2 linked regions of the Arabidopsis thaliana genome follow. The protein of the gene in region 1 interacts with the protein of each later gene in a pairwise test. Each region holds a gene or a part of one and is shown in the gene's direction. Other genes may lie near its edges.

Region 1 (10,682 bases):
TGGTAGTTTGATGCAGATGATGCGAAATAGAAACGTGGACCCTATCTTTTAACAAAATTTATTAAATTATCTATTTTCATTCGATGTTGTATCCTAGGTGTAATTTTGCATATCCTTAAATTATAAATAAAACGTGTTTTAAAAAATTTACGTATGTCTTGTAGTAAATGCTTATATTTATTACCATCGGTTATTTGTTGATGGGGTTGGTTGAAAAGTAAATAATGGTGTAGTTGAATCAAACAAAACAACAGTGTACTTTTTGAATAAAAAGATTTATTCGAGTCTACTGTTTTGATCTAACATTTCGGTTATTGAATATCAAAATTTACATTTAACTTATTTCAATAGGATTAACTTTTTTATTACATTATTTCATTAGGACTAACTTTTTAATTACATTAGCTGCGTAAAGCTTGATTATATTGATAAGTATGTAGTTATATAGATGTCCAAAACATTCCCATGAGAAACCACGAAAATTCAAAGTTGCGTTGAATGATATGAATATTAAACTCTATTTGGGGTGTTAGTGTGTTACTATTTTGAAAGATTCAAACATTTGCAAATTTAATGAATTAAAGAAATGTCCGCCGGAGAAAGACTATAGTTTAATGTATTAATGGACATAAGCCAGTGTCTAAATATACGCCGGAGTATATGGTACATCCACCAAGGAGATCGGTTGGATCGGATTATGTGGAAGCATATTTTATCAAGACATTATTTATTGTTTTTAATACATAAACTCGAAGTTTAGACTTAAATCTTATATCCAAAATATGCAAAAAACCGGGTTTTCAAAATTATTACATCTTTAGAAACTTAAATTGTTTTCCATACAAAAAAATTAATAAAACTTGTAGATTGGATGACTTGATAACCACCGGAAAACAATTTCACCACTCAAAATTGAAAACTGGTGGTTACATAATTCTTTAGTTAAATTACTTAAACTTTTAAGAGTTTTAGTCAAAATATATATCCAAATGCATGCGGTTGATTGTGCTTGTAGTTGTCTAAGAAAAACATATAATAACCCCCATATTCCTGTTTATATTTCATTGTTATGATATTGGTGTTTAGTTGACAAACAAAAAAAGTTCTTTTGGTATTAGATCTCCTACAACAAAAGTCTAGATTACGTCAAGACATTTGTGTATTAATTACATATAAATTTCATGATGTCTAAAAATTGAACTCGACCAACACTATTAAGTTAAGTTATTAAATAAGAACTAGCAAGTCATTTTCTCATCTTTTACATATTGCAACAATGTGTTTGTGAAAACGCAAAATGATTGATGTACGTATACTTCGGCCATTTTTTCTTGTCGTGATGGCAGGATTTAAATTCTCCAAAATTCAATTCACTTATATATAAACGGTTTTATTTCTGATCCATCCAATTTTTGTTTTCCATTAGTAAAGCATTGAATTTCCTAAAAACTTTCACAATTAGAACATCATGGTGTAAATATTTAAGTCTAACAACACGTAATTATTGTGAAAGTAATGTGCTGCAAATGGGTTGTATTAAATAAGCTTGGAAATGGAAGAACAAAATGGTTTTACTGTATATTAAAAATACCTTGTCATAACAACTAATTTAAAATGAAGAAAATTATGATCTTGGGAAATTCCAAACAAATCCACTAAATCCCAAGACAAAAAGATCCATAGAATGCCAACTAATATTCCACAAAGTATCTAACACATTCACATTCTCCTTGAGCAACCCAACCTAAAAGTTAATCCACATTCTTTATTTTATCATTTTAACCACTCACACCAACATTGTTGGTCCATGTGCTTGCTTATATGTGTGTGCGATCTCTTTGTTCTATTTTAATGTTATTGGGTTATTCTTATGTTACTGCTGGATCTTTGACATGATGATCATTTGTATCAGCGTTGCCTCTATGTGATAATCAAAATTTAAACTAATTGTATATGTATGTGAATTGTGGGCAACGTAAAAGAAATTTATGCAATTTCCGTACTACCTAACTTGATGTTGGGAGATCGATGAGAGCGACTCAAACTGAATCATTCTCATTAATCTTCCAACACTTGATTATTATCCTCAATATAAACAATCACGTTAAGAAATTGCAAACTGTTTTCTTTTAAGAAAATTAGAAAGACGGTTTTTAAGGAGGAACTAGATTGTCAGTATTTTATTTTTTTATTTTGGCTAACAAAATAATACTTCTTTATTTATAATTAAACCATTGACTGAACTGACCGGACTATATAAGTTATGTTTTACAATGGCGCAACTATAATTTGATATGTTGTATCAACTTGTAAAATCAATCAAGTTTTGAATCCGGAGTCATCTGATTAAGGTAAAGATGTACATTTTAAGTTTTAATAGAGCAAAAATCTCAATTTTGCAATAGATAAATTGTTATAGATAAAAACAATTTTTAGGCCGAAATTCATTCATTTTGGACTTTCAGGCCAATTATAGAGTTAAATTCCAGTCCATTTTGCTGGTCCATGATTAGGTATGGACCTAAATCTCTCTTTTTTTGGCAAGCCCAGTCTAAAAAGAGAAAATACAATCCAGCCCAATTGACTAAATCTCTCTGTTTACATGACCTATTTTTGGTGACAAATTTTAACAATCTGTTTGGAGAAACAGTTCACATGGATAATTTTGTCAACAAAGAAGAAAGAATTGAGTAAATTGCTCTACTTCACACCTGTCAAAAGAGGTTAATTCACCAACTACATGTGTGACCTGATACGTGCACGTTATTATCAATATGTACGTCTAAAAAACCTTAAGAGTTTGAATATTCGTATTTCGTAACACTCTCAATATTCAAATATTATCAAAAATAAAATAAAATATTATCAATAAGATTTGTTAGTTGGGTTGGGTAATCTATCAAATACACTAATACAGCAAATCATTTCAATTTCACGACAAGTGGAAACTTTTCATTATGTCACTTTGCTTAAATCTTCACCGACCATTATGTCACTTTGCTTATATGTAAACCTTTGACTTACAATTTGGTTTTCTAATTAAAAAAACAATTAATGAAAAACTGTAATTTGACCTGACTAGTAAGTTAGTAACTCAAGACAAATAAACACCAAAAAGGAATGAAAATAAAATTTATGTATATTATTTTATTAATTTTATGATTTCATGCAAAACAGATTGTGAATGATTTGTAATCATATTTCGAAAACGTCAAAATGTGAAGAAATTACATACAATATTGTTGAGTTTTCTAATTAGGTGATACTTCAATTTTGGAATTAGTCATGTGCTAGAATTAAGTACGTGTCTACTAATCTACTAATATATCAGTTATGTGGTGTAAACTTTTAAAGCTCTATACTTTCTTAATATGTAGTATATTATCGAAGGATCAATGTTGACATTACGATGATAATGACATTTACGATTGTAATTGAATATTCTATAATGCCAAGATGTGATCATTTTCGTTTCTTACTCTTTCATAAAATTCTTTTGGTGTTTTAGGGACCTTTCAAAGAGACTGCGTTTCTAGGTCTTAGATTCGAATCTTGATGCTTGGAAATGATTAGTTCTTGATCTCAGTGATTACGAGTCCAAGACTCAAAACACTTTGGTTTAAACTTTTTTTTTTTTTTTTTTTTTACTTATATTCCATTTCCATTGTTTCTATATCTATGGAAATGAAAAATAATTCATTGATCTTTTCTATCTAAATAAAAAAATTCTCCTTCGGTTTCAAATTATTTTTTATTGTTTGTATTAGAAACAATCAATTTTTCTAACATAGTATTAGTTTTTTAAGCATTTAAAGCAAAAAAAAAAAAAACAGTTGACCAATAGGCTATATATATGTGTTGGTGGTATACAAAAAGTGAGATTTATTTGTATACCAATTCTGAAACATTTCCAAATATACCACAAGAAAAATCCTATTTCTGGAAAAAGCCCTAAAAACAGAACAGAGGAAGACGAGAAAAACAGAGAAAGAGAGAGAGAGAGAGAGAGATCGTCTTCTTCTACAACCTCTCAATAATCAAACAAAAAAACGTGTTTTTTTTTTTTTTGCGAATTCGATCTTCGATCAAGAAGATCTTGATCTCAAAATCCAAACTTTTCTTCACCATTTCATGAGAATCTCTCGCTTTCAATGGCGGATTTGTTAAGAAAAGTGAAATCGATAAAGAAGAAGCAGGATCAGAGCAATCATCAAGCTCTGATCCTTGGCAAATACGAAATGGGTAGGCTTCTTGGCCACGGAACCTTCGCTAAAGTCTATCTCGCACGAAACGCTCAATCTGGAGAAAGCGTAGCGATCAAGGTAATTGACAAAGAGAAAGTTCTCAAATCCGGTTTAATCGCACACATCAAACGCGAGATCTCGATCTTGCGCCGTGTTCGTCATCCTAACATCGTTCAGCTATTCGAAGTCATGGCGACGAAATCTAAGATCTATTTCGTAATGGAATATGTTAAAGGAGGTGAATTGTTCAACAAGGTAGCTAAAGGAAGGTTAAAAGAAGAAATGGCACGTAAATATTTTCAACAGTTGATCTCAGCCGTATCGTTTTGTCACTTCCGTGGTGTTTATCATCGAGATTTGAAACCGGAGAATCTTCTTTTAGACGAAAATGGAAACCTAAAAGTCTCTGATTTTGGTCTTAGTGCTGTTTCTGATCAGATTCGACAAGATGGGTTATTTCATACTTTTTGTGGGACCCCTGCTTACGTGGCACCGGAGGTTCTTGCTCGGAAAGGCTACGATGGAGCTAAAGTCGATATTTGGTCTTGTGGAGTGATCTTGTTTGTGTTAATGGCAGGGTTTCTTCCTTTTCATGATCGGAATGTTATGGCTATGTATAAGAAGATTTACAGAGGAGATTTTAGGTGTCCGAGATGGTTTCCGGTTGAGATTAACCGGTTATTGATTCGAATGTTGGAGACTAAACCGGAGAGACGGTTTACAATGCCGGATATTATGGAGACTAGTTGGTTCAAGAAAGGTTTTAAGCATATTAAGTTTTATGTTGAAGATGATCATCAGCTTTGTAACGTTGCTGATGATGATGAGATCGAATCGATTGAATCGGTTTCGGGGAGGTCTTCTACGGTTTCTGAACCGGAAGACTTCGAGTCTTTTGATGGGAGGAGAAGAGGTGGTTCGATGCCTAGACCGGCAAGTTTGAATGCTTTCGATCTCATTTCGTTTTCGCCAGGTTTTGATCTTTCGGGTTTGTTTGAGGATGATGGTGAAGGATCTAGGTTTGTGTCTGGTGCTCCTGTTGGTCAGATCATTTCTAAGTTGGAGGAAATCGCGAGGATTGTGAGTTTTACTGTGCGAAAGAAGGATTGTAAAGTGAGTCTTGAAGGTTCAAGAGAAGGAAGTATGAAAGGTCCATTGTCAATTGCTGCTGAGATATTTGAACTGACACCAGCTTTGGTTGTTGTTGAAGTGAAGAAGAAAGGAGGTGATAAAATGGAGTATGATGAGTTTTGTAATAAGGAGTTGAAACCTAAGTTGCAGAATTTGTCTTCCGAAAATGGCCAACGGGTTTCTGGTTCGCGTTCTTTGCCATCGTTTTTACTTTCTGATACTGATTAGGAAGATGAAAAATGAAGTTTTTGTTTCTGTTTTATTAGTTTTGTGACTCATATGTGGGGTTAACGACTTGTAATGTTCTTGTTCTTTGATGGTGTGTGAGAGACATTAGAATTTAGACCTAAAGAGAGTGGTGAGATATGAATCATTGATGTGTAGAAAACACAGATGGAATAAACAAGTTTCTTTATGAGTTTGCTTCTTTTTTTTCTTTCTTTTTCCTTCTTTTGAATTTTAATTCTGTTAGTTTGAAATATGACAGAAATTCACTTAGAACAAGATTGTGTAATTTCTGTTGGAAATTTTGTCTACTAACGTCAATTAATATGACGGTTTATGATATATAATTGAACATGTAGAGTTTACAAAAACAAAATCTTGAGAAGAAAGTTTAGCATTATAATCCAAGCCACACCATTAGCTAATCCAAATTTGTGTTGTTCTTTTAAATATGTTATATTCTAGTCATGCACCTTTAACCATAAACAATTTATTAATCCATTTATTTCTGTCACTTTTCTTTACTTCAAATCTTTGTGTAACTATTGACCCCAATTAATTAAATAAATAAATCAACAACAATCTAAGATATGTGATGATGATTGCAGCCATTATCATAAATCTCATCTTTTACACGGAGATCTAAAGAAAAACAACCAAATCCAGAAAAATATAAGATGAAAAACACATTTAATGTATCACTTCAATCTTCTCATTGTTGCTATTGTTGTTGTTTCCTTGCCATTTCCAAACAATATCTTTCAAAGAAGGCCTAAGCTCACGATCACAAAATTGCTTATACTCCATTGTATCACCTCCACTTTTCTTAAACTCAACCATATGAAAACTATTTGTCACTTCAAATATCTCAACATCAATCGCAAGATGTCCTTTTCTTCCTTCTCTCTTATCTTCCATCTTCACTCCTACATCGCTCTTCGTCAAATTGAATCTCTCACTACTTGTTGCTATCTCCTCGAATTTCGACACTATCTCTTTTGCATCTTTCTTCGTTGTAAACTTCGATTCTGATCTCTCTTCTTTCTCAAACAAACCCGAGAGATCGAATCCTTGAGACAGCGAAGAGATCAAGTCAAACGCGTTGTAAGACATCGGTTTTACGGAAAAAGCTGCGTGGACATCGCTGATCAGTGAGTCGATCTGATGACTTTCGGGAGATTTAGGCGTTTCGATCTTCTTGAAACCCTTTTGAAACCAGGAATTCTCCATGATTTTTTCAATCTTGATTCTTGAATTAGGGTTAGGGTCAAGAATCCGAGACAACAACTTCTTGACCTCGGGAGGAAACCAATTCGGACATTTGAATTCGCCTTTCGTGATTTTCCGATACATTTCCACAAGATTTTGCTCGTGAAACGGAAGAAATCCAGCCAATAGCACGTACAACACAACCCCGCAAGACCAAACATCGGCTTTAGCTCCATCATAACCTTTCTTGCCTATCACTTCAGGTGCCACGTAAGCAGGTGTTCCACATGTCGTGTGAAGCAAGCCATCTTGCTGCTTCGACTCCCTCAACGCGCTAAGGCCAAAATCCGATATTTTCAAATCGCCGTTTTCGTCTAGAAGAAGATTCTCCGGTTTGAGATCGCGGTGGTAAACTCCGCGGCTATGGCAATAATCGATTGCTCCGATCAATTGCTGGAAATATTTTCGAGCAATGTTTTCTTTAAGCTTTCCTTTAGAGACTTTATCAAAAAGCTCACCGCCTTTAACGTATTCCATAGCGAAATAGATCTTTGTCTTGCTCGCCATTACTTCATGGAGGAAGACGACGTGGGGGTGACGAACGAGACGCATCACTGATATTTCTCGTTTGATTTGATCGATTAATCCGACTTTCGCAACTTTCTGTTTGTCGATCACCTTGATCGCTACGCTTTCTCCTGTTTTTATGTTGCGTGCGTGGTACACTTTTGCGAATGTGCCTTGACCTAGAAGACGACCTAATTCATATTTTCGCATCAAAACTATGCCGTTTTTATCCATTTATTGACGCTTTTGAGGGAACAAAGGAACTTGATGAAAAAGCAGAGGATGAACTATTGATTAACTTCGTCTTGGAATGTGTTTCCCATGGCTTAGAAGAGATGGAGCTCAAATTTTGAAAATATCAATTATATTTTTTCTTCTTTTTTTTTGGGGTCTAAACCTTGCATATATCAAAATAGTAATGCTAAAAACAAATACAAGAGGAAAAGATCTTAGATTTGTGTGGTCGTGGTGATGCTTCGAGTGGGCTCTTCTAAATATAGTGGAGGCTAGTTGTTGTTAAATATTAGAATATCCCAGATTTTTGTGTGTGTATATAATAGATTTTGTAATTACAAATATATGTGGACTTCAATGCCGGTCCTGTCTGTAAATCTTAAGAATCATGATTCAAAATAAGAGTTGTCGCATAAAATGTCATGATACGAAAATAAGTGGAGGATAAATCTTGGAGTTGCAAATACAGATATGGATATGATTGTTAACATCGGCCAATTTTTACTCGGCCCGACCCACTACAAACCCAGGGAGGCAATCACTGAGGAATAAATAAATATGAAACATAGAAAAGTTGATCATGTTCATGGGGGCATCTAGAATTGTGTCATCTAGGTAGATTGCAATATATTTTTACAGTTATAAGAAGTGTTTTTGTAGGTTTTAGAGTGTTATTTTCATTTGAATGATTAGATTTGATCTCTTGCTATCTGTAGAAAAACTAGTATTCTTGGCGATTAAGATATTTTAAGTTATCAAATCGCATTGAAGAGACTCAAATCAATTTATAGAATGAATCATGTAAACATTATTCCACCATGAAGTGGTTACTTAGGTTTAATGTTATTTTAAAGTTAAAGAGCTTACTAATCGCGATCCAAACTTTAACCCTATAGTACATTTCACCACTATGAATACTTGAAATGTTGTGGAATCTTATCTCAAGTATAGAGCTTGGTTAGGTTTAATGAGTTAAGTTTGATATAAATTAAGTTAATATAGATACAGTTGAATTTTCGAAACTAGAACTCTTATTTTTACCAAATCTGCCAAGTCCATAAAAAAAAAGGATGCGTTCAATGAAAAAAAAAGGATGCTTCCAACAATTTATTTAGATACTCCACAATTTTCTTTATGAATATTCCCTACCACACAAAATAATAATGGAAAAATCTAAGAATATAAAAATCCAATGCAATCTTGGATAAAAATCTCCTAGCTGACTTGTCGAGACGAGATCATGTTGCTGCCACGTAAACACACAAATCTCAATTTCTCTCATTATTTGTCGTCTCCGTGGGGCGTGGGCCACTATTCACAGTTGTACATGCATCGAATATTACTGTATTTCGCAAAATGCCACGACGTGAATAAACTATAAAAAATAGAATAATTCAAATATATCTTCGATAAGTGATAAAATTTAAAACATCAAAATGTAACTTATAAATGATTTCTTATCCATTAACCAAAAAAAAGGTTATTTTTTATCCTTACAAACTACAATCTTATAACGAAACAATAATTATTATATAAGATTATATATAAAACTATATTTCTGCATTTAATAAAAAACAAAAGATCCATCTTATACAAAGCAAAATCTTAATTATTTATAATATAAACTAACATAACGCATTGCACCTTGCTACCATAAGTCTTCAGAAAATAAAAGTAACACACATACGGGTTATATATCCCTAGAATATATGCCAAATATATAACTTTATAATATCAAGATTGAAAACCTTGTTATTATGCAATTTTAAATATGACACGTACGTACCTATAGTATCATATCTAATATAATAACGACTACTTTCCTTCCTCTCCTCCGGCATTACCTTCGGTGTCAACCATACAGTCACGACGGCGACGATCTCTCATAGTTCCCCACTCATGCATCGAAAGATGAAGCTTTTTCCCAGCGAGCAAGAAATCCGCTCCTTGTACCGGAGATAGAATCCCGAGGATCTTCGCTAAAGTATCAACCCTTAGATTATCGGCCTCGACCAATAAACGAGCCATAGCTTCTTCTTGCTTGTCGAGAGCTTGATCCACCACTACGTTAGGCTCTCCGACATTCTCCATCTCGTAAGCCACAGTGGCGATGGGAATATCCGCTGCGTCTTCTTGTAGGCTTGAGACTTTCTTGGTCATCTTCTCTTCTTCGTCTATAATTTTTACATGCAACACATTGATTTTAGCTAGCTGCTCCGCACTTAAGTCGCTAAGTGATGCACCGCCGCCACCACCTGTCAAACCAAACCATATTGAACCAACCGAACCGAAACCATTAGAATTTTGGTATAGATCTATGGTTCGGAATCATTTTTTATGATTAATTTTATTTAAAAATAATAATATATTTGTATAATATATAGAACTGAACAAATTCCAAATTCAAACCGAACCCAACTTAATATAAAACCTAAGAATCTATTATTTTTGTCATAAGCAAAATGAACAGAATAAATAAATTTTAGAAATCGGAAGGAAGACAATAAAATTTTTTGCCGCACCGTACTGACTACCGAACCAAAAAATTAAATTTAGTCTATTTTTTTATTCCTCAAAACCGAAATAACCGAAAACGTCCAAACCCTTACCTGAAGATTCGTAGCCGTCGATGTTGCGGAGAAACTGAGTCACACGGATCTCAGTTTGTGACCCACACAAAGCATAAACGAGCCTAAAGAAAGAAGATGGTCGACAACCACCCATCCAAATTAGAGCGTTCTCTAAAGGACTGTTCCACGTGGGTGCATAATAGTTCGAGCTACATCGGTGAGCAAGATCAGCTCTTTTTGCGGCGTAATTTTTGAAATCACCGATGATTTTTCCCGTTAACTTACGAAGCTTGTTATCATTATCTTCATCACCGTGAGATCGTCGTTGAGCTAAGAGTTGTTTGAGCTCAGGGATGCGTTGAGATTGCAAACTCATCCACTCGAGATAAGAATCTTGAGCTTGTTCGATGTTCTTTGATGAAGATCCCATTTTTTTTTTTTTTTCTGATATAATGAGGAGTATTTTGATTATTGGTTTGATCTCTTTTGGTTTGCGTGTTTG
Region 2 (9,941 bases), on another chromosome or scaffold:
TGTTAAGGAAATGACTCGAAGGAGAGGGAGGGAATCGAACCGAGGAGGGAGAGGACCGGTGACTGAACCGGGGTAGAGAATGAGTTGGGTTAAGTGGGTTAGAATGGAGATGGAAGGGGAGAGAGAGCCTGAGAGATTAGGGCCAAGAGTTAAGCCGGTGACACGGCCGCGAGAAGAGCAGGTAAGGCCAGAGAAGGAGGAACAAGGGTCAGGAACTGTGAAGTCCCAAGAGGAGAAGAAGGCTGAACCGGGCATGTCGGTTAAAGAGTCTCTGATGGATTGGAGCGCGGCTCGATCCGTAGGAGCTAATGAAGAGAAAGTGGAGTGGACAAGAGAGAGCAAAAGGAGAAAGAAAGTGTAGCTCATGTTTTTGTTTTTGAGAGTTGTTTTCTTCTCTTTGTCAATGAAGTTGGTGTGAGATTTTTAAAGAAGAGAAGAGAAGAGAAGAGAGAGCGTGAGAGAGAGTAATAATGAAGTACACAGCATGTGTGTGTGTGATAGACAGTGAGTGAATGTTAACGTTATGGATTCTTGTTCGAAAATGTGTTAGTTTATTTATTAGTGACGTCTCTTTTGACTCTTGTCGGTGTCATTGGCGGTTGTGGTCCCTTTTTGCATTCATATCTCTTCAGGAGGTAATTTAAGATTAGACATTTTTCCGTTTGTTACATTTTTTCTGAATAACAATGAACACATTACACCCTAAAAAGGTATGTAGGTGACACCATCATGGGCAAGGATACATTCCATGGTGATGACTAGAAATGTTGGATCTTAAAAATATTATTCCTTTGATCATTCAAGGCAAAATATTAAGAAATTACAGGTCGATTTTCATGCCCACAAATCTAATGTCAACCATCAATTTAAGGAAAATAGAAAAAGAACAATGGAGACACTCCAAGTCCCAACCAAAAAGAATATCAAAATATTTCATGAGACAAAAAAAAAAACAGAGAAATTTTGTTTTTATAATAAAATCCGTTCAGGCAGTTAAGTCTGAAATATCTCTGGAAGACTGATCGTACTCTGCATCTTCCTCAACGAGCGGTCGTGTATCTGCTGCTGGATCATATCCCTGAACGACGAGCACCGACGCGGTGGTGGAAAACTCTGATGACGACAACAAGCGTCCAACTGGTCCTAACTCTGGACAGTCTGTACTCTTAACCAACGATGCAACAGCTGCATTTCTTCCAACGACGAAGAGATTGCATTTACTCATCGATTTAAGTGTCGCGATGATATCGTCTTTGCTCTCAACGACTCTTTCCTCGTAAGCCAATGACTCATTTCCTCTTGGATCATTCATCAACTCCCTCACAAACTCTTCGTCAGTCTCTTTCTCTTTTTTCTCCTTTTCGTCGTGTTCACTCTTCTCGAATCTCTTCAATGTTCCTCTCGCAGCTACAAATTTGTAAACAGTTAGTGTGATTCCTGGATGTTCCACCATTTTCATCCCGTATGCGAGAGCTTCTCGGTCGTCGAGGCCTCCAAAGAATGGAATCACGACTTTGTAAGCCACTTCGCTGGCTACAACCTGTGAGGTTCCTCCGAGTCCTCTGTCCACAAGAATCCCGACTGAGCAAGGAGCTCGTTGCAAGACCCGTTGGTTCACTTCATGGAACCTATGTCCTATTGACTCCATCGCTCCGTCCATTCTCTGATGCTTGTGAAACGGAAGCAGTATCATCGCTACTCGTTTCTGATGCGCGCTTGTGCATATGTCCTCGTGGATGCTGCTGAGGCCAGAGATTGCAGTCATGGGTCTAACCGCTACTGCTCGTAGATGCTGGTAAGCCTCGAAGGCAATCACCATCTGGTCCGTTGATCTCTCGATCTTATTCCAGATTGGGAGACCATTGTTTCGAGCTTTGTGAACCATCGCGATCGCTGATGACCGTTCAGAAAGCTCCATCAGATGCATCGCGTAAACGCAGAGGCGTCCCTTTTTGCCTGTTCCTCTTGATGATTCGATCAGATTGATCAATGTGGGGATGTTACGGGTACTGTGGAAGCAAGCAAGTATCCTTAGCTCAGAATCATGATCTTTTCTTTGGATGGTTCTGTGCTTGTACGGTGCTCCTTTTCTTGCAGGCTTGTAAATAAGCATCACAATTGGAGTTGTGATGAAGGTTGTGAACAATGCCATTAGGACTAAGATCGCAAATGCTTGATCATTCAGCACCTGCTCACAAAAATCGTTATTTAGATAACTCGGCTTTTAAATGTTTTATAAGTCTTATTATGGCTTTCAAGAATCTATACCTTCCGGTCCTTGCCAATGTTAAGAACAATGAGCTCTACTAAACCTTTGGTATTCATAAGGAATCCAAGTGTCACGGCTTCTCTGAAAGGAACCTTGCAGAGCATCGAGGAACCAACTGTTCCTACAATCTTCCCGAAACAAGTGGTGAGAATGACAAGAACTAGAAGTCCCCATGACTGTGCTCCCCTGATCGTTGTTACATCAGTTTTGAGACCGCTAGCCGCAAAATACAGAGGTAGAAGAAGCCCCGAAACAAGATCCTCTATCTTCTCAGTCAAAATCCTGCAAAATGGTCCTTCTTTAGGAGCTACTATACCTACCACAAACGCCCCGAACAGCGCGTGTATCCCAATAGTGTCTGTCACAAAGCTTGCTGCTAAAACCACGGTTAGAGTGACACAAACATAGAGTTCCTTTACAGGCTCTCCCTCAGGACAGCGTCTAGCCATATAAGCAAGCAGAGGTTTGATTGCCACAACTGCAAAGATCACGAATCCAGTTCCACAGAGAAGAACCCAAACAGATACAAGAGGAGAAGTCCCATCTCCTGAGAGAGCAATAGCAAGCGCAAGGAGTATCCAAGCTGCAACATCGTTTACTCCCGCTGCAGACATTGCCATACGTCCAATGTCAGTTGTTAGAAGCTTTAGCTCAGCTAGTATACGAGCAAGCACAGGGAAGGCAGTGATTGATAAGGCAACACCCATGAAGACAATAAAAGGAAGCTGATCGACTCCTTTGCTTATGGTGGCACTGAGAACAAAAGATGTGCCTACACCCACTATAAAAGGAAGTGAGATCCCAGCTATGGCTATCAATAGTGATTTCTTTCCAGTTTTTTTTATTGCTGCAAAGTCAAGCTCAAGCCCAACTAGGAACAAGAAAAACAGAAGACCAATGTTGGCGAGTGTGTCTAAAACGGTCAAGCTCTTCTTTGGGAAGATGGTGTCAAGATAGGCCTTGCTTCTCCCTAGTGCAGAAGGTCCAAGCAGTATCCCTCCCTACAGAACCATCCCTTTTAGTCTCTTTTGCTATGTGATTTCATCAAAACAGAAAAAGAAAAATACAAAGAGATTGAGTAGGAAACTCACAATGATCTCAGCAATGACTCGGGGCTGTTTGAGAGGCTTAAGAAAGTAAGCTAAGAGCCTTGTAAACACAACCACCAAGACGATTTGTAGGATGATAAGAGGAAGCGCGAAATCAAGAGGGCTTTCGTTTTGGAAGGCTCCATTGGAGGTAGCCTTCATTGGACCCGGGCATTGCCCTGTAACGTTGGTGCTTGCCATCCTAGTGGAGATCTACTTACAGGTTGATGATTGGTCAAGAAACGAGATACTGCTTCACCCTTCAATACTGCCTTGGCTGCTCCCTCATTGCATTGCCAAACGAAGTATGAGACCTGAATGGGAGGAAAAAAAAGAAATCAAGATTTTATTCTGTTCTGTTACTGTTTTTATTAAACAGAATCTACATTAAAGAAGTGAGTATATAAAAGGAAAAAACAGAAAACTAATAACGTCTATAGTTTGCTAATAATAGGTAGATGAGATAGAAGCGGACATACCAACTCCAGGGTGGGCATATACCTCGCACTTTTCTATTTATAGACTATCAGTTACTTAACTTCCAACCATATCGCATCTATACTTCGCAGATATGAACTGCCTTCACTGCGCCGAAGTTTTCGTCTCTGTCTTTGTCCTTCTGTCCTAAATTTGCAAGCACTTGTACCTGTCTCTTAACTAAGCAGCACATTTGATGTCTTACCTTCTGAAGCTTTGTAAACATCAACCATTTTCAAATATATTATCATCGTATAGACGATATAAACATTCTTGAGATGCATAAGTAGTAAGAACAAATGAACACATTAAAAAGGAAGAAGTTAACACTGTTCCAAGCCGACTAATCTAAATTTCAATCATGGGTTCTATACAAGCAAATTTCTGAGAAGGACAAAACAAAAAAAGACTTAAAATTGGAGACCGTGTTCTATTTGCTGAAGCAGCTAAAGCCATGGTAAGTGTAAATTGCACGGTCAAAGGCCACCTTTGTGATCCCATTCTCTACGCAGGATTTTTCTATAACTTCTCCAACTTTCTTAGCCATTTCCTAATCAATTCCAAGAAGAATCAAAGTTAGACAGTGTCCAAGAGAAAAACAATTGAAGCTAAGGGTCTCATGCTAAAACTTGAAAGGTTTCGGCTAGAGAATTTTGTAGATAGATTGTAGTTGAATTCAAAGCAGGTGGTAGTGAAGAACTCACAATGGTAGAACCAGTGAGCAAAAGATACAGAGCCTTGGCCATGGTCTGAGAATTGAAGGAGCTTTAAGCCACCGTACTGAATTGGAATCGGCGTCGAGGCTGTTCTCAGCGAGCTCAGACGCTGGATTACATCACCCTCTATATTTTGTAGGTTTCGAATCTTCGGTGGCTCTCTCGGTTCAATCGCCGCAGTCGGAGAGGAGAGTCTTCCTCCTCCATCTCCACCGCAAGAAGCGACCGTCGATCATCTCCCCCGCCATATACAAATGAGAATCACTAAAAAGTTTTTAACTACAGTTGGGCTAAAAGCCCAATAATAAAGCCCATAAATGAAACGACATCACAGTCATATAAATAAGAGTTCAAAAAGATGAATAATTCCGGGAAATTTTTAGAGGGCAGAGTTGTGTTTCGGCCCAGCTTGAGTTAGGGTTCCTGTGGGGAAACATGAGAGCTTTTTACTGAAGTTTCAAACCTAACTAATTTGTGTTACATCGATCCTTGTTCAAATTTGAAAGATTTGAAGATGATGTCCGATCTTCCAAGAGATTTGTTGGAGGAGAGACTCTCTAGGGTTCCGGTGAAATCATTGAGAGAAGCGCGATTTACCTGCAAAAATTGGAAAACATTATCCAAAAAGCGGAGCTTTACAAAGAAGCACCTTGCTCAGGAAGCAACATCAAGGGAAAGTGAGTTTAAGGTTGTCATGGTCTTGCATTGTAAGGTTTATCTAACGAGCATCAACCTCCGTGGAATTCACAACGGCTTTGACCCGTCTATAAACCGTCAAGCTAAACTTGTTAGCCTAAACGGTACAGATCAGATCGATATATCTGAAGTATATCACTGCGACGGTTTACTGTTATGTATCTCGAAAGACTACACTAGGGTCGTGGTTTGGAATCCGTATAGGAGCCAAACTTTGTGGCTCAAACCCAGTAGTCCTGACCATAGAATGGACTGGTATATCTGTGCTATAGGATACGAGAAGCGTAAATCAAGCCTACGCTACAAAGTTTTGCGATTCGTTGATTTTGCCGAAGAAGAATTTGTTGAGTACGAAATATACGAGTTAAAGTCTAATTCATGGAGGGTTCTCGATGTCACTTCCGACTGGGAAGTAGAGTTTTATGCACGAGGTGTCTCTCTCAAGGGAAATACTTATTGGTTTGCTACAGACAAGTTTCCAGAAATCAGCAGTAATCTTATACATAGTGTTTATTTCTTGCTCTGTTTTAATTTTACATCGGAGAGATTTGGGCCGCGTCTTCATTTGCCGTGTTACCCTATGGATGTAGATACTGTGAGTCTTTCTAGTGTTAGAGAAGAGCAACTTGCTGTGTTATTTCAGCGTAAGGACAACTTACATATGGAGATTTGGGTTACGACTAAGATTGAACCTGAAGAGGTGATGTGGAGCAAGTTGTTCTTAGCAGTGGATATGCAACCACTCACTGATTTTAAGTTTGGAATTGCAGATGCGAGTTTCATCATTGACGAAGAGAAGAAAGTTGTTGTAGTCTTTGCTAAAGACAAAGATGTAATGTATCCCACTCACAACACAGCTTACATCATTGGAGAGGATGGATATTACAAAGAAGTGGATCTCGGAAAAACTACTGATAAAATTCGAGATCCACTTGTGTGCTCGTATGTTCCAAGCTCAGCGCAAATCAAGCAAGGAGGCAAAAGGAAGAAAAAAGGGAAATTGATTACTGATTAACATTTATATCTTGCTTTGTGATCTTCTTCTTTCAACAAAATTTGGTTTGAAATAGGATAAAATTTTGTTAAAATCGAAAGTCTGTGAAACTGTAAGTTTGGTGTGAAGATACTATATTATCTGAATCACTCGCTACTTTCAGCAATCTAATCAAAGGACCAGTTCACGTAGAACCAAATCTTCAACAACAAAAGAGAAGACAAATTGAAGAAACAGATCGAAAAACACGACCACTAACTCTGCTATTCATAAGCTAATGCAATGAATGATTCAACAAAGCTTCATTCACAATCCTTCCTCAGCTTTAAGAATGCGCTCCCGAGATCAACTAAACCTCTCTACTCTTCGACGGCGCAGCTCATCTAAAGGGAGATCATTAGAAGAAGAAAGTGCTGGTCCCTGATTCAGTGACCATCCATTTCCTCTAGCCCGTCCCGAGCCACACATCTCGCAAGCACTTAACCAACCAGAATTGTCATATGTACACGACTGACATCTCCAAATACCAGGTCCTGCTATCCCAGTCTGACCTCTTCCCACTCTTCCTCTCCCCGTAATCCTCCTTCTCCGAGACCTAACCATACCATTCAGAAACCTCAAGGGCCACGTCACCAATCGAGATACACCTCTAACCGCCATAGTGACTGGATCTGAGCCTGAGTAAGAACCTTTCAGCTTCAAATAGATAATACCAGCAAGGATTCCACCCAAATGCCCAAGAAACGAAGCGTTAGGTACAAACATCTGCACTAGAATCAATTCTGCCCAAGCAGCATACTTTGTTGGAACCAAGATACCATACACACTTGAGTAATCCTCAGCTTGAGAATTAAGAACAACTTTCATAGCAAAGAGAACACCCGAGAACCCAACCGCATACTCGTTGTAGTAAGCTCTGTCATAGTCAAACAAGAGAAGAAGCGATTTGGCTAACAACAATGTGACTCCTTGAGACATACCAATAAGAGTAAAGACCATTGAAGCAAACTCACTGCTTCCCATTGATGTCTCAAGCTTGATACCTTTCCAGAGAAGTGACATCATGTTATAGACTAAGTGAGGCTCGTTAACATGGTAGAACGCTGATAGAAATAAACGCTTCAAGTCCTTATGCTGTTCAACAAATACACATCAAGATTAAAAAAAAAAACTTTAACAGAGAATAGAATTAATCAATCAAGAATGATCTAATTAGATATCGAAGAACAAAATCCCTAATTCTCCAGATATTGGTACAAATTTCCCAGGAAACTCAAATTCGAATTTCAGATCGAAATCGGTCAAATTGCAATCAATTTCTCTTGGCGAATGAAGGAATTTATTAAGATTGGTTTACCTTGAAGATGAGGTGAGGATTGAACCAGACCTCACTGATGTGAGGAATAACGGGATCGATAAACGCCGGCCTGAGATAAACGAGAGTGTTCGCGGCCAGGAGACTCGCCGTCACCGGTGGTTTCCACGGTAGTCTATAGTACTCCGCGACGGCGCTTAGAGCCAGCAACGGCAACATTCCGCCTCCACTTCTTCTCCCTTCACCAAAATTCTCCATTTCTTCGTAATTATTCTTTTCTTCTGATCTCTCTGAATCACTTACAAGTAATTAAAATCTCATCTCTTTCACAATATTTATATAGCAGCAGCTTGGTCTCTACGAAAACAAATTCTCCAGAGACTTCTTCGTTTCACTCGCATAAGAACATGTGGGACCCACCACGGCATTTTAGAACTCTAGTTTTTATACCTAATCTCTTCTTGCCTTTTTTCGTTTTTTTTTACTTTATTTTGCAAATCTGAATGACAATGATGCTCAAAGTGAATGTTATTCGAACAAAAAGTGTATACAAACCAAAACCAAAAAAGAAAGAAAGATAATCATACAACACTGAACAATGGATTAAAGGGTAAATATTTAGTGATTGTCATCAGTTTTAGGCCTTGTGTTAATAAGCATTTTACGAAGCATTGTGTTCTCGTTCGTCAAAGTAGAAATCTTCTCTTCGAGCTGGTCATTGTTGTTCTGTAACTCATTAGCTCTTGATTCCAAATCACTCACATACACTTTCTTCCTCTCTCTTGCTTGTTGCGCTGATACTCTGTTCCTCAATAATCTGTAATTTTTCACCACAGTTTCTTTTTTACCATTTCAATTCCACAAATCGAATGCTAAGAAAAAAAAGTTTTTTTACTCATCATTGATTACCTCTTGAGGCTTCTATATTCTTTATCAACAGGGTTTCTTCCACGGCGGCGTTTAGCTGTAGAGACTCCATTTTGAGTCTGGTCAAGCTCCGGATTGTTGACTCCATCGTCGGCGCTGCTGCTTAGAACACATGTTGATCCAGCTGCTTCCATGTCAGGAACCATCAACAACTCCTCATCACTTTCCTCTGAGAATTATACAAACCAATTTCTCTAAACCAAATTAAGTTAAATATTAGATAAGTTTCTTTCAACACCTACCAGTTTTGTGCTTCTTGTGGGAAGAAGACGAACTCGAGTTCCCATTGGGTCGTTGGAGAGACATCAATATCTTTTTGTCTTTTGAGATTTTGCTAAAGACGAGAATAGAGAGGTAAGAGGTTGAAGAGAATATCAAACCAAAGGAAATTGCATCTTTTCTTTCTTCTTTGGGGCCACTCAAAGTCTGCAACTCGTTTCAAACAAAAAAAAAGAGAAAAGTATTGGTTGGCTTATAAAAGAACACGTAGGTTTATGTAAGACCACAAATGCAACTGTTTCAATCCAATGGTGTGTATCTGTGTTTTCTTTTCCACTATATCCCGTTGAACTTATTAATTGATTTATTGTTCTGTTTTGCTTTTAAAGTCTTTGTTCATGATTTCTACGGAAAACAACCTTTAGTGAGTATTCACAGAGCGTGTGGGTTTAGGACAATAATTACTGTCTAGAACCATACAAACGTACTTGCAGACAAAGTCAGAGGCACAACTATGTGTGTGTGTATCTATTTGCATGGCGTAATAGGCATGCATAAACTCATCATGTGGTCATATATCTCGTTTTCTATTTTTTGGTACACAAATAACTCTTTTGTATAAAGACAGCTAACTAATGTTTTGAATTTTTAAATGTTATCTCTTAAAATTAAATTCTACCAATTGTAAATTCAGTCAATCATTCCGAAGCATTTTTTCATGCTTTGTGATTCCGCCATATATTTTCCCATGTTCTTTTTTACGTTTTTCATCATAATTTTAAAGTTTTACGATTTTTTGTTGTTATCAATGAAAATGGACCAAGTAAACTTCTACCGTAATGGTTGCATATTAGATAGTGGACTTATGCGCGCGCGCGGAAACAAAACTTGGCCGGTTGAATCGTCGTCTGCCTGGCATCTAACAGTTTTTTCGAACATTGTCATAATCAATATATTGAGGGATGTTAATCATGAAGTCGTATGGAATGGACGCGGGAAATCACTCATAAACAATGTGAACATTTTATAAGGTTATAAAGAAGAACAAGTTTCATCCTTCTTTTGTATATTTCGACTCATACATATCTTTCTATTCAGGAATAAGTATAAAACATAATATAACATGTGGCATATCGACCGACCAATACATCTTTCCCAACCCATGATCAACCTTCTGATTGTGTTTTAATTTATTCGTCATGAAATGGATCAGAATACTCATGATGAGTTTGTGTATCAC

Evidence for each region.
Region 2: the proteins of CIPK19 (region 1) and AT3G17620 interact in a protein complementation assay, tested with the Arabidopsis thaliana proteins (one large-scale study listed by BioGRID).

Annotation. Positions count from the first base shown.
Region 1 is NC_003076.8:18,580,791-18,591,472, forward strand, and holds CIPK19 (CBL-interacting protein kinase 19), read left to right. Parts: upstream 1-3,885; 5' UTR 3,886-4,151; coding exon 4,152-5,603; 3' UTR 5,604-5,800; downstream 5,801-10,682. Other genes in the region: CIPK20 (CBL-interacting protein kinase 20), read right to left, coding at 6,291-7,610; DOG1 (delay of germination 1), read right to left, coding at 8,879-8,952, 9,455-9,865, 10,220-10,682. UniProt on the Arabidopsis thaliana protein: CIPK serine-threonine protein kinases interact with CBL proteins. Binding of a CBL protein to the regulatory NAF domain of CIPK protein lead to the activation of the kinase in a calcium-dependent manner.
Region 2 is NC_003074.8:6,022,818-6,032,758, reverse strand, and holds AT3G17620 (F-box and associated interaction domains-containing protein), read left to right. Parts: upstream 1-5,064; coding exon 5,065-6,261; 3' UTR 6,262-6,313; downstream 6,314-9,941. Other genes in the region: AT3G17640 (Leucine-rich repeat (LRR) family protein), read right to left, coding at 1-366; CHX19 (cation/H+ exchanger 19), read right to left, coding at 986-2,188, 2,269-3,270, 3,361-3,558; AT3G17626 (structural constituent of ribosome), read right to left, coding at 4,265-4,384, 4,539-4,580; RBL14 (RHOMBOID-like protein 14), read right to left, coding at 6,586-7,374, 7,598-7,813; HYH (HY5-homolog), read right to left, coding at 8,174-8,372, 8,465-8,651, 8,725-8,788.